3 linked regions of the Oryzias latipes genome follow. The protein of the gene in region 3 interacts with the protein of the main gene of each other region in a pairwise test. Links are inferred from orthologs where the notes say so. Each region holds a gene or a part of one and is shown on either strand. Other genes may lie near its edges.

Region 1 (4,067 bases), on a different chromosome or scaffold from region 3:
TGTTTTTGTCATGTGAAGGGATAAAAGTAAAACACTATAAAGCATAAAGAGAAGAACGATTGATAGTATGGCTTCTTTGTAACTTAATTCATATAAAAACCCAACACAGTTTCCATTTCAAAATAAACCTAGACAAACATGGTGTTGAAATTTAGGGAATTTAGCAAATTTGGTATCCATAAAGCAAGTCTTACTGGGTTCCTGTTTAAATTGCAAAAGATACTGAAATATCCCAAAGTTAAAGTATTAAAACCCAAGCCTGGAACCCAGTTACAATAATAAGGGAAATATTTGGGAATGAAATGCGAGAGGATGAAGAATATTTTAAGGCATATTATCACCATATTTATAGATTGTTTTTATCACTCACTGAAATTATACCCAAGCTAGTTTTAATCAAATTTTACAAAAAAAAATGCAAATGTCTAAACATATTTATTTTCCATTGCTTATGAAAAGCTAAATTCTAAACTATCTACTTTTATTTGTCTTCAACTATGTTTTAACCAGCACACCTCCTAAAAATGGACATGAAAGAAGCACTCTGACGAGAAACCAAAGTGTTGAAGACCTTCTAGAAGCTTTGAATAAACCCCCTCTGACTGCTATTGATGCCCTGCCTGGTCTCCCACAAATAGCTTAAGAAATTCTAATCCAATTAGATGCAGTCCTCCTCCAAACCATCTGTGAAACTTAAGATGTCACTTCCATAAAAAACAGGAAAAAGCCAACCAAAAAACACGTAGACGGGATTCAAATATTCATTTTGTGGAACATGAAGCTCTGACAGATGTCAAGCATATTTCTGTATCAATACTTTTTAACTTGGCATGATTTAAGAAACTGTATACCGTACCAGGAGGAATTAGCAAACCACTTCTTATCGAGACATGCAAAAATGTTAAAATAAAATAATCACTGTGTTTACAAAATCTAAAAAAAAGTTTACTTTCCTTATCTCCTCAAATATAGACTTTTTGTTCATGCTTCAATTTTCAAGGCTAAATTAACACATAAGACATAACAAGTTTTAGTGGTAAAACAGAAGCTAAGATAACATCTGACTGACTTTGACACAACATGTTAGGATAAATATAAATGTTAAATGAAATAAAGCAGGTGAGATCACCAACAACGGTGTGCAAGTTTCTTTTCCCTCAAAAGGAAGTCAAGATCCAGTGAATTCTGTGATTATAAACAATCTATAATACCAAAAGAATACTTCATATTTCTTTAACCATCTGTTTCCACAGCAACTGCATACTGCAGAGCAGAAATGAGTCCCTCTGCTTAACGGCTTAACATAAAAAAATTGTCAATGCACAAAGAAGACACATTTTAAGATCATTTACCTTTGCTCAAAATAAATAATATTCCCTTTCAAACATCAACATAGTCAGAAATTATGATAAAACCTCGTTTAAAAGAAACTCAACTGGTGTATTCTCTCATTGTACTACCCTGTTTTGACTTTTCACTATAAAAACTGCAACATCAAATGCAATCTTTAAAGGTTTATTAACAATTTAAAAGAAAAGGTTTAAGTGAAGATCTAAATTATGGGAATAAACCGCAAAACTACAGAAATAGGGCGTTTAAATGAGTGAACAGAGGGGATAACCTGCTAAAATAGTTTTAAAAAGATGGAAATGTTGCCTGATATGTTAAATTAATCTGTGGCAGTATGTCTATTGTCACAAATGTTGGAAAACCGTGTACACAATGCGAAATGAGTTGTCTCAAAAAGCCTCCACGTGATGACAGGTGGACCACACCAGTGAGTCTGCAAGGCGGGAGACGCCACCAGCACCAACCAGGGGGTTGTGGCTAGTTTGGTGGACAAAGAAACGACATTTTCCTACATCTGATCTCAAACGAACAATTTTTATTTAAGGAAAGCAGCGATGTGAACCCTGAAAGCCACTCGGGTTAAGCGATTTTAGCTCCAGTCATTTTTCAACTTTAACCCTTAAGGACTGACACCAAAAGTAATGCCAAGCGGCGCACACTAGATACATAAACCAGGGTTGGAAGGTTTGTTATAAAACTTACTTTCAGGACCTAAGAAAAATATAAGATGAAGTACAGCTTAATCTTTCACAACAAAGACTCAGCAGAGGAGGCCACAGGGCTGCCTGGTACTAGCTTAGTGTAGCTATTAGCAGCAGCGCTAACGTTTCAAGCCAAAAACAAAGAAATGCAACATAGTGTTTTAAAATATGATCAAGTATGACTTAAATCGATTTGCCCTTTTATACTACTCAAATGTTTGCACAAAATGTGTTTAGTTGTGATCGTTATTTCCACTTAGGTAATTAAGTTACGTAGCGAAGCTAGCGTGAAGCTAGCTTCTGTATGCCACTAAATAGATAAATTTGCATTTATGGAGGAAAATGGCTAACATAAAAAGTATTTAAAACTATCTTACGCTGTCAATAAAACAGAAACTAGTTATATATAAAGACATGTCAGTTTTGGAAGGCGCCATGTTCACTATCATCCATCACGAGATTGGAGCAGGATTCGCGGCTAAGCTAACGGTGCTAGCACCCGCAGTGTTGTCATTGAGCCCGAGCCATTTTTCACGAGAATAAGCCCAAACTCACCTCCGCCTTGGCGGCACTGGCACACGGCGCTGCAGAAAATCCGCAAAGGAACAGACACCAGGCAGCTTACATTAGTAATTCTCGAGCCGAAGCTTCGGGCGGGGATTTGTGTCCCAGCTTGCCGCCGGACAGCAGAGGTGGGGAAAGAGGTAAACACAGACGGAGCCGAGGGGCAGCAGGTGAACCGAGCGGGGAGCTCTAGTGGTGGAATCCGGCACGTCGCACCTCCCGGCCGACACGTTAAAGGGACGGTGCCCCTGTTTTAGAGGTTCAGAACATTATGGAAAGGAGAAAAACAAACACATAAAGAAAACACTTTTTTTTGGAAATGCACATAAGTAAAATAAGCCTTACATAAAAATAATTAAAGTGAAGTAAAACTAGAAATCAAAACAAAAAAAGTTGGCAACTCTCTTGGTAAAGTATCAAAGCACCTGGCAACATATGAAAAAACACAAAAAACATTTAAAAAAAAACCCACCTAAAGCCTATTTAATTAATCTTAGCCTAAATCGTGTGATACAGTCTAAAAAAACTTTAATAATAAAAAAAAGACGTTCATATTTACTAATTATTAGATATTGCGATAAAATTCTGAATTGTTCCTACCCACCACTGTTGAAACTGAACTAGTTTGTGGCATCATGTCTAATATATAAATATCAAACTTCACTTAGTCTTTAAGCTATATTTCAGTATTTTAATTGTTTTAATGTCTGGGCATCTAAACTAAGTTTTAGTCAAAAAAGAAAAGTTATAAAAGCATTTGTTTTTGCCAGTTAAAAAAATAAACATATTGAGAATGAGAGAACAAGCTTAAAAGGCTAATTTTAATTTAGATTAGGTTATAGTGCAGTATAGAATCCTTATTGTATCCCATTTATTCATTTTACTATCAGACTTACTGTCAAAAGAAAAAAATTATGGCAGTCAAAAAAAACTGCATATGCAGAAATACTGGATTGAACATAAGAAAATATATTAGAAAACAGATTTCTACTAAAATGTTGAGGTTGTAAGGAAAATACGTAGTTTGTTTGTTTTTGCGCCTCTGCACAAACTATCACGGTTTACTCAGCTAATGATGGGTGGTGGTTAGTGACATAATTGTAAAAGTTTTTTTATTTGCCTGAGTCTTCTATAACATGAGCTTTAGCATGTTGAGTTGTGATTTAAATAAACCATAGAACAATGCCTGTTTGTTCTTTTTGTCTCTTCTTGAACCGTGATGGACAGTAATCATGTCCAGAGCTCACACCTCTTCTCACCCAGTAACAGCAGGTATCAGCCCTGCATTCCTGTTAATGGCTTATTGTTGTTTTCTGTGTGGGGGATCATGTGACATTGTTCCCAATTGTTCAGAAGGACTGCAGATTCCAGGTGCTTTGGGTGGTTATTTTACATGACAAAAGCTTTAGATTAAGACTACAGGGTTTGGGTTTCGTGAATGCTGGGGATATA
Region 2 (4,085 bases), on a different chromosome or scaffold from region 3:
TATTTGTGTGACAGAGATTAGGTTGGGTGCATCAGATTAGACAGAAAGTGCACATGTGTGGCACTTACCTTCTATTTACTACACCTTAAGTTCTGAGGGTACAATAACAAGATGCCTTCTCCATGTAAGCATGTGTTTACGCATAGTTTGTCTTGCCATTACATAAAATCATAAGCATGATAACCTGAAATAAACAAGAGCTTCACTGACAGACAGTCGCTGTGTCAGGTTGATGAGGTGCTCACAGCTCCAGACCAAAAAAAAAAATTTCAAAATATTCATGGCATCACGCCCCCTAGTCCCACAAGTGACAGTGTGTTTTTGTGAGCATTCTCTCCACCTCTGGTTTCAAATGGTGGTAACAGCCTGCAGCGTTCAACCCCACATTTTAAAGTTAAGACCTCCAGTCCCCTGTGTCACATAGTTCAGATGTTTGATCAACCAGTAAGACACGTTGGGATTTTTTTCACCTTTTTGTTGGAGCATGCATATATTCATGATGAGAGTTAATGAGCGACTAAACAGGTTTAAACTTCACGTTCTACTTCAGCCACCGCAGGCCTGGATCTGGTTTGTGTTGCTGCGGTTCTCCCACCCTAATGTCTGAGTGGCTCATTTCAGCCTCGACCCTTAAAAAAACTGTTGTCAACTAGAAAGTCCTGCGCGCAGACGGACGAGATGATTTAGAAATAAAAGAATCTTCCAGACAAAGCGTGGACCTACCTTTGTCTTTAAAGCAACGGACTGTGCACACTTTAGCAGCGCTGTTATGTGCAGCTGGACACGGTGAAGGAGAAAGCACAGGCGGCACCACTGCGCATGCGTCGTAAAACCCTCACCGAGGGCGGGGCCCTTGTACAATTGACATTGAGCAAAACATATTTAATGAATATATATATATATATATATATATATATATATATATGTATTCGTGTTTTATGAATCTATCTATCTATCTGTCTGTCTGAAGACCAACATTTTATTTTAAGATAGAATTACTGAAAAAAAAAACATTTAGTCAGTTGTGATGTGGTACGGAGCCACGTAGTACGGTGACCTGACATGTCATGTGGAATGCTGTATAGCAGTAAAATCGAGTTTTCTCGTTGCCTTACAGACGAAACTCAGGGAAAGGAATATATGTTACCAAGTCACGACAGAAATACACCTGCCAAAGCTATCAGCAAAAAAACAGGCCAATCAAAATCCATGCTATAATACTACTTCTTTATACTGTAAATAATATGCAGGCGAATCTTCATTATAATTTCGGAATTTGTCATTTACAGTAAGGTTTTATGGGTATCAGCCCTCTTCCTCGATGTTCGACCTTTGTGCGCATGCTCCGTTGCCATAGTGACGACTTATACAGCCCCACAAGTGGTTGATACCAGAGCGTCATCGAAGAAAACCCTAATCCTTTAACGAGACATTTAAAAGGTAAACAGTGTATACTGATTTTAGTGAGCGGTTTATTTTTGATTAACGTTACCGATAAGCGTGTTTTATATTTCTCCTTGCATGCTTGTTTGTATTAGTTCTTGTTCGAGCTAAGTAGCGTATTTTAGAACCAGCTAATAAACAATAGCTGTTCACTTAACAGAAATATATGTGAGGATAAGGGCGCAACAAACAAAAGCAAGAAAACCTTTTAGCTTTAATATACAAGATAATCGATGCTCTATATGAAAGATGATATTGAAAATAAAAATGATTCCAATTTGGTAAAGACAAATCTTGAATGTTATATATAGGTGGCTTTCAACAAAGAAGACAATTCCAACATTAACACACTTTAACATTCAGTTCGGTTGTATTATAATTTATATGATAATTAGAATAAAAATATTGTTATTTTAGATTAATTTAATGCCAATCTTTTAAAAACACACCTATTTTTCCTCTCTTAAAAGTTGTCATATTCTGTGTGGGCCTCTATAAGAGTTAAGAAACTCTTGAATTGTTTATCGGTTTATCTGGGTTTATGCCCTCATTTCTCTTGATTTTATTTCTACAATTTTATTTAATGCTAACTTTGCTTTGGATTTGTATGTTCTTCATGAAATAAAGTTTTATATTTTTTAATTTTGTCAATATGAGGTTGGAAAAAAAGCTAGTAAATGAAGTTTTTTTCTTGAAATATCTGTTTTACATCATGACTGAGAGTTGTATAGTTTCCATGATGCTTTGTGTGCAAAACATTTACAAAGATTTATTTTTGTTGTAATATTTTTGAAGTTTCTTCTGTTTTAGATGTGTGAAGGACCTTCATCAATATCTGGCCCAATTCCCCCAGACCCTTCACTGTTTCCTCAATACTACCAACGACCAGCTTCAGGTTAGAAGCACCCAAGCATAGAAAAATACAGGTGTAATGTGCATTTGTCTGTTAACTGTTTTTTTTAATGCCACTTTTTTTTTCTTAATTAAAAAACATTTTCCTAAATGTATATTGAGCATTTTATATTTTCTTCATTTTGGATTAAAATGGCATCATCTTGTTGACTTGATTCTTTCAGCTCGTGGTCGTTTAGAGGGGAACCATGCTGGAACTCTGGGCCTTTTCTTGGGCCCCTTTGCTCCTGATCCTGTTGTGTTCCCAGGCTGCTATAGCTCTCGTACAGCAGTCCACCACCGTCCACGCATTGGCCCCAACGCAGCCCATATTCTGGAACGGGGTCGGAAAGGCGTCGTGGGAGAACTGATGAAACTAGACAACGTCTCAGTCAGTCCTGCTCCAAAACCGAGTAAGTGAAGCTGCTTTATAATCCATTGATATTTCATTGTATTTAAACAGCTGTGTATTGGAACGCAGCTGTGCTTTTTCCATCTATTTAAGTCAAAACCAGTGCTTTTTTAAACTTGTTTTAAGATTTATCAGATTTGTTGTAAATATAAGAATCTCAAAGGTAACTAAAACAATATTTGTGCACTACTTTTAACTGGATGGTAGTAAATTTGGCTAATAATAAAAGATAAAACTATTATTTGGCTAACTTTTGTTGCTTGACCCTGCAGAACAGAGAGTGCATGACTTTGGTAAAGAAAACGTACGCCGGCTGAAGGAGATTCAGAAACGCTGCAAAGAGCAGGAGGCTGAGAAAGCCCAGGCCCGTCCTGTTCCAGTGAAAGCTTTGTGGACTGCTCCAAAATACCAACATGTGTCTTCCAGGGTGCTGGCCCAGCTAGAGGCAAGGACTACTCTTATTTGTCATGAATGTAACGCTTTTGAGCTTTTCTACATGAAAGTGCGATCTGTTCCCCTCATGTAGAGTTCTACACCTACGGTAAAACCACAGTGTCAAAACTTCCTCAAGGCCCACTCTAATGGCAGTTATGCTGCACCATCAGTACCTTCACTTGCTTTCAAAAATTCATGCAACTCTGCGCAGGATCAGGACTTGAAGGTAAAAGATTAAGAGTAACTTTGTAAACATGTAATATTCCTATTTTTTCTACTGTGACATTTTAGTTTATAAACACATTTGGCAACATTTCTGGACAGAAATGGTCATTTTAGAGGACATGTGCGAGTGCTATAGTTAAGCCTTTATATTAAATAACATCCATGTATATGGTAAAATATTACTGGGAACAGACAATGGAATGATTTTTTAATCAAATATGAGTTATTTCCCTGAGCTTTACTTCCCAACCCGGAAGTAAGACGACCCGATCGCTGAGGCACCGGCTTTTGCTCCTCGTGGGTGCAGCCCATTTCATTACGTCATCCACCGGTGTCAGCAATTGTTTATTAAAAAAAAACAACCTCCAAACTTTTGCAAAGATGGATGTGCATAATGTGCATATAAAAGGAAATCACATATAAATATCATATAAAAGCTGATCACCGCTAGCTCCGCTGAGAAAGTGGGTGGGTGGGTGTGTTAGCTTGGGGCCGGAGGTGGCAGCATAGATTCTTCCTGGAAGGGACTGTTCTCACTGGTCTGTGTCAGCTCAAGAGAGACCAATTGTTTTTGTGGGTTTCGAGAGGCTGGTGCTCCGAACACAGAGTATTAGAGGAGTACTCAGAAATGCTTGAACAGAGCAAAATACCGCTTTGGGTTTTTTTTTTTTGTGAGGAA
Region 3 (3,565 bases):
GTCATCTCAAAATTATATTACATTTGAAGAAAGCACAGCCAAACTATTGTTCTAACAGTTTCTTCCCATACTCCCTCTTTTCTGTGCATGTTTTCTGCTGAGCAGGCCTCAGACTTATCTTCACTTTAGCCTTGGAGCTTCTCTCCAGCAGTAACCTGTGGGCGTGTTTTTCACACGAGGTCCATTGGACGATCTTCTGAATATGCAAATGCAGGGTTTTTATACCAAAGCCCATCCCTGAACTCTTTGGTTCGGACTTTGAATGTACCATGTTCATGTCTGTCCCCTTCGTGTTTGTGCGAAGTAAAACCTCCACAAAAGCTAAGTTTTGTCTCTGAGTCATTATTCATTATTTCTGTGTGTAAGAAACTGAAAAGGGAACGAACCAACCTAATATTTTTATTAATACAGTCCTTTCTAGAAAATCCAGTTTCTTCACAGTAATCAAATATTTGGTGTGCATGTAAATGAGCTTTATACAAATTCTACAGCTGGAATGCTTTATGCTAATGTCCAAAGGTAACAAAAAATGTATAAATAAATGTTTATGTATCTTGTGACTTTTGGCTTGGGCACTTTAGACAGTTGCTGCTTTCCTTCTTTCTATAGAAAATCTAATAATAGAGCAAAATGGGCACAAGGTTCTGAGGAGGCTCTACTCATCTCTAATGACGTGCTCATCCATCTACACACAGAAGTGAAGTGTCTCTGGACCGAACAAGTACAAATGGAGAGAACTTGGCAGAATTTATGAGCAAGACTAAATACGGTGACGGACCACATGGAACTGCAGCTGCAGTCGGAGCACCGCCATTACCCAAATTATAGGATGCTGCCTGGACTATGGAAGACTTTTTATCTCAGGATGGGTTTAGAGACACTCCTCACAAAGTCTTAGAAAGGTTTGTTTTTAAATTTTACAACAAATACATTTTAAAAAGAGCCAATTTTCCATTAACTAATGGAATAATTTTCCAATCAACTAATGTTGCTACAACTTCTGCAGTTCAATCCAGCTGCATTCACACATGCATCTCTAATTTCCTCACTGTTTTATGCAGAGCAGCTGTGTAAGACTGCACATCATTGTGTGAAATTCATTGAATCAAGTTCTCCAGTTTGAGGAAAGCAGTTGATTATTTTTAAGAGGGCACTTTTCAGAAAAGAGCTGCTGCTTTTAGCTTTTCTGTGTACTGCTTTCAAAACTCTGATTTATTTCAAATAGGTTCTCCAGCTCCTATTTACAAATAAATAAACACTATAAAACAGAAAAAATGTTTTTTTAACAGAAGCGATAAGATGAATTATGTAAGGGTTAATGGCCGACGAAGTGTGCGGTTACTACTTTTTAACGCACGCCGTGGAAGCCTGAACCTTCGCGTCGGACGGTTGCTTCCGCGAAGTGCGTTAAAAAGTAGTAACCGCACACTTCGAAGGCCATTAACCCGCTTATACCATGGTCACTCACAAAAGCAATACATATTAACCAGGTTTTAGTCCTTAATTCTTGTTTTTTTTCCGATTTGGATCACTTTTCTCATAAACAGCGTACTATATGTTACGTGATGCGGCGTAACATATAGTCCGCGTCGCGCAGCACCACCGCTGCAGTCAAGATTCGGCGATATATATAGGCTCATCGTCCCGATGGGTTGAATAAAGCATCAATTCAGAGGGAAAGTTAATCGCTTACCGCTTGTTTTTGCCCAGATGATGAAGCAAAAGGTTGTTTTACAGAAGCCGGCGCAGTGATACAAATCATTTAAGCTAGCCGACCGGGACTTCTTTTTTCACCGTGCGGTTATCAGGTTTTTACGCATACCCAGCAGCCAATCAGAATCGAGTATTCAACCGGACCATGGTATAATAGAGATATAACCTTTAGCTTTAATATTACTTTGGTTTTTTTGAAGTAAACATTTCTAAAAGCCAAAAACAATTCAATAAAAAAGTTCAGAAGGTTTCTTCAAAGAACTTGAAACTCAATTTTCATATTTTTCTCTGTCATTACAGGTGATTACAGATGAAAGTAATAATCAATAACCCCATCTGTTAAAATAAATTGTTCACAAAGAGGAGGGTGTGTTAAGCAAGAGCATTTCTCAAAGTAGCGTCTTGTGTGATGCATTGTTCTGCAGTTCAAAATCAATATTACATTTCTCCATTTTTCATTCTCCCCCTCACAGAGTAATGTGTGCATTATTTTAGGACATAATAGGCTTTTTGCTGAATTCTAAAGACCTACCATAAACACATTTATGGGTTTAAGAGCAAAGTTCTAATATTCTTGTCACAAAGTTTTACTTTTTTGTTTATAGATGGACAAAGGTTGGTTTCATTCATCTTTTTTTTCATCCTGTTGTGCCAAAATACGCTGATCTCAGCATATATTTACATTTAGAGATTTTTTCTGTATATTCTCATCATATGACATTATTTTGGCAACAGTGAACCCCAGCCTTTAAACCCTAAAGGAGTCATTTTCTCTTCTTAACGAGAAGCCAGAATAACGAGACTTCAAAACATCATTAAAACCACATTAGTCAAATTGCAGCTCTGATTTTCTTTTTTCCACCTACCCATTCTGTGGCTGCTGTGTGCTGGCATTGCCCTGTGAGTGCGGGGTGTTAAGTTTAGGCGAATAGGCCACAGGTTTAATAACGGGTCCTGAGCTGGCACTGCCACCACCTGCTGAAAATGGCCTTGCCATCTTGTTAATGGTTGTGCTCGGGGCAAAGGAGTACTTTGGCTGAGCAGAACCTGCCGTGTGTGAATCCTGTGGGAGTGTCGGGGAAGGGAGGAAAGAAAAAAAAAAGAAAAAAGTACACAAAGCAGCACAGAGCACAACATGCAGTTAAAACTCATGGCACACACAAAAAAAAGTTCTGCTGTTGCACAATCCCCAACCTTTCCAGTCTCCTCTCGTAGCAAAAGATTACAACACTGTGCAAACCGGCCATCTTTTCCTCTGCACAGACGAAGAGCTTCAGTAGTGAACGCTGCTGTTTATTTGTGCTGGCTGTCAGCCAACGACGGGCCAAAGTAACCTGCTGCAGCAGATAAAATATTCGTCTAGAACTGGCATGTCCCACTAATGAGATTCCTCACTGAGCATTATGCACACACTGCAGAACAACTTCTATTAAAATGGAACACTGGTTTTATGCAGGCTCGTGCCAGCTGCTTTGACTAATAGCAGTTTGCATCAGTTCAAGGAGTTCATGACACTATTGTACTTATGAAAGTGCAGTTCATCAGGCAAGTAGCTGTGAAAGTGTGGAAAAAAAAGAGAAACCGAAGGCGACATCGCTCGCTGGTAATGGGGGATTGCACAAGGCAGAACAAAAGAAGACGAGAATTTCTCAAAACAAAACTACGCCAAGCGCACGACTCGTTTAGCAGCTCACTGGTGCTCGGCTGATGCAGTGCTCATAGGTGATTCCAATTCATTTCAACACAAACTAACATGACACACTGTATAATCCAACAGCAAGTGGGGGTTAAAGGACACTTCAAATCTCCAGATGAAGCAGAATCTCACAGCCAAGTGTTGTTGACTGATAGA

The links. The genes of interacting proteins can lie anywhere in the genome.
Region 1: the proteins of pdlim7 (region 3) and zmynd11 interact in a two-hybrid assay, tested with the Homo sapiens proteins (2 studies listed by BioGRID). The link is inferred for Oryzias latipes from reciprocal best matches to the Homo sapiens genes PDLIM7 and ZMYND11.
Region 2: the proteins of pdlim7 (region 3) and enkd1 interact in binary tests that used the Homo sapiens proteins (3 or more experiments, as listed by UniProt). The two-hybrid records come from large-scale screens. The link is inferred for Oryzias latipes from reciprocal best matches to the Homo sapiens genes PDLIM7 and ENKD1.

What each region holds. Positions count from the first base shown.
Region 1 is NC_019875.2:8,102,523-8,106,589, reverse strand, and holds the start of zmynd11 (zinc finger MYND domain-containing protein 11), read right to left. Parts: upstream 2,824-4,067; 5' UTR 2,607-2,823; intron 1-2,606. UniProt on the Homo sapiens protein: Chromatin reader that specifically recognizes and binds histone H3.3 trimethylated at 'Lys-36' (H3.3K36me3) and regulates RNA polymerase II elongation. Does not bind other histone H3 subtypes (H3.1 or H3.2).
Region 2 is NC_019867.2:6,232,613-6,236,697, forward strand, and holds the start of enkd1 (enkurin domain-containing protein 1), read left to right. Parts: upstream 1-1,262; 5' UTR 1,263-1,440; intron 1,441-2,238; exon of another isoform or gene 2,239-2,253; coding exon 2,254-2,338; intron 2,339-2,519; coding exon 2,520-2,747; intron 2,748-3,018; coding exon 3,019-3,191; intron 3,192-3,272; coding exon 3,273-3,407; intron 3,408-4,085. UniProt on the Homo sapiens protein: Microtubule-binding protein which regulates microtubule organization and stability. Promotes the stability of astral microtubules and facilitates the proper orientation of the mitotic spindle.
Region 3 is NC_019868.2:19,528,360-19,531,924, forward strand, and holds part of pdlim7 (PDZ and LIM domain protein 7), read right to left. Parts: intron 2,777-3,565; coding exon 2,580-2,776; intron 1-2,579. UniProt on the Homo sapiens protein: May function as a scaffold on which the coordinated assembly of proteins can occur. May play a role as an adapter that, via its PDZ domain, localizes LIM-binding proteins to actin filaments of both skeletal muscle and nonmuscle tissues.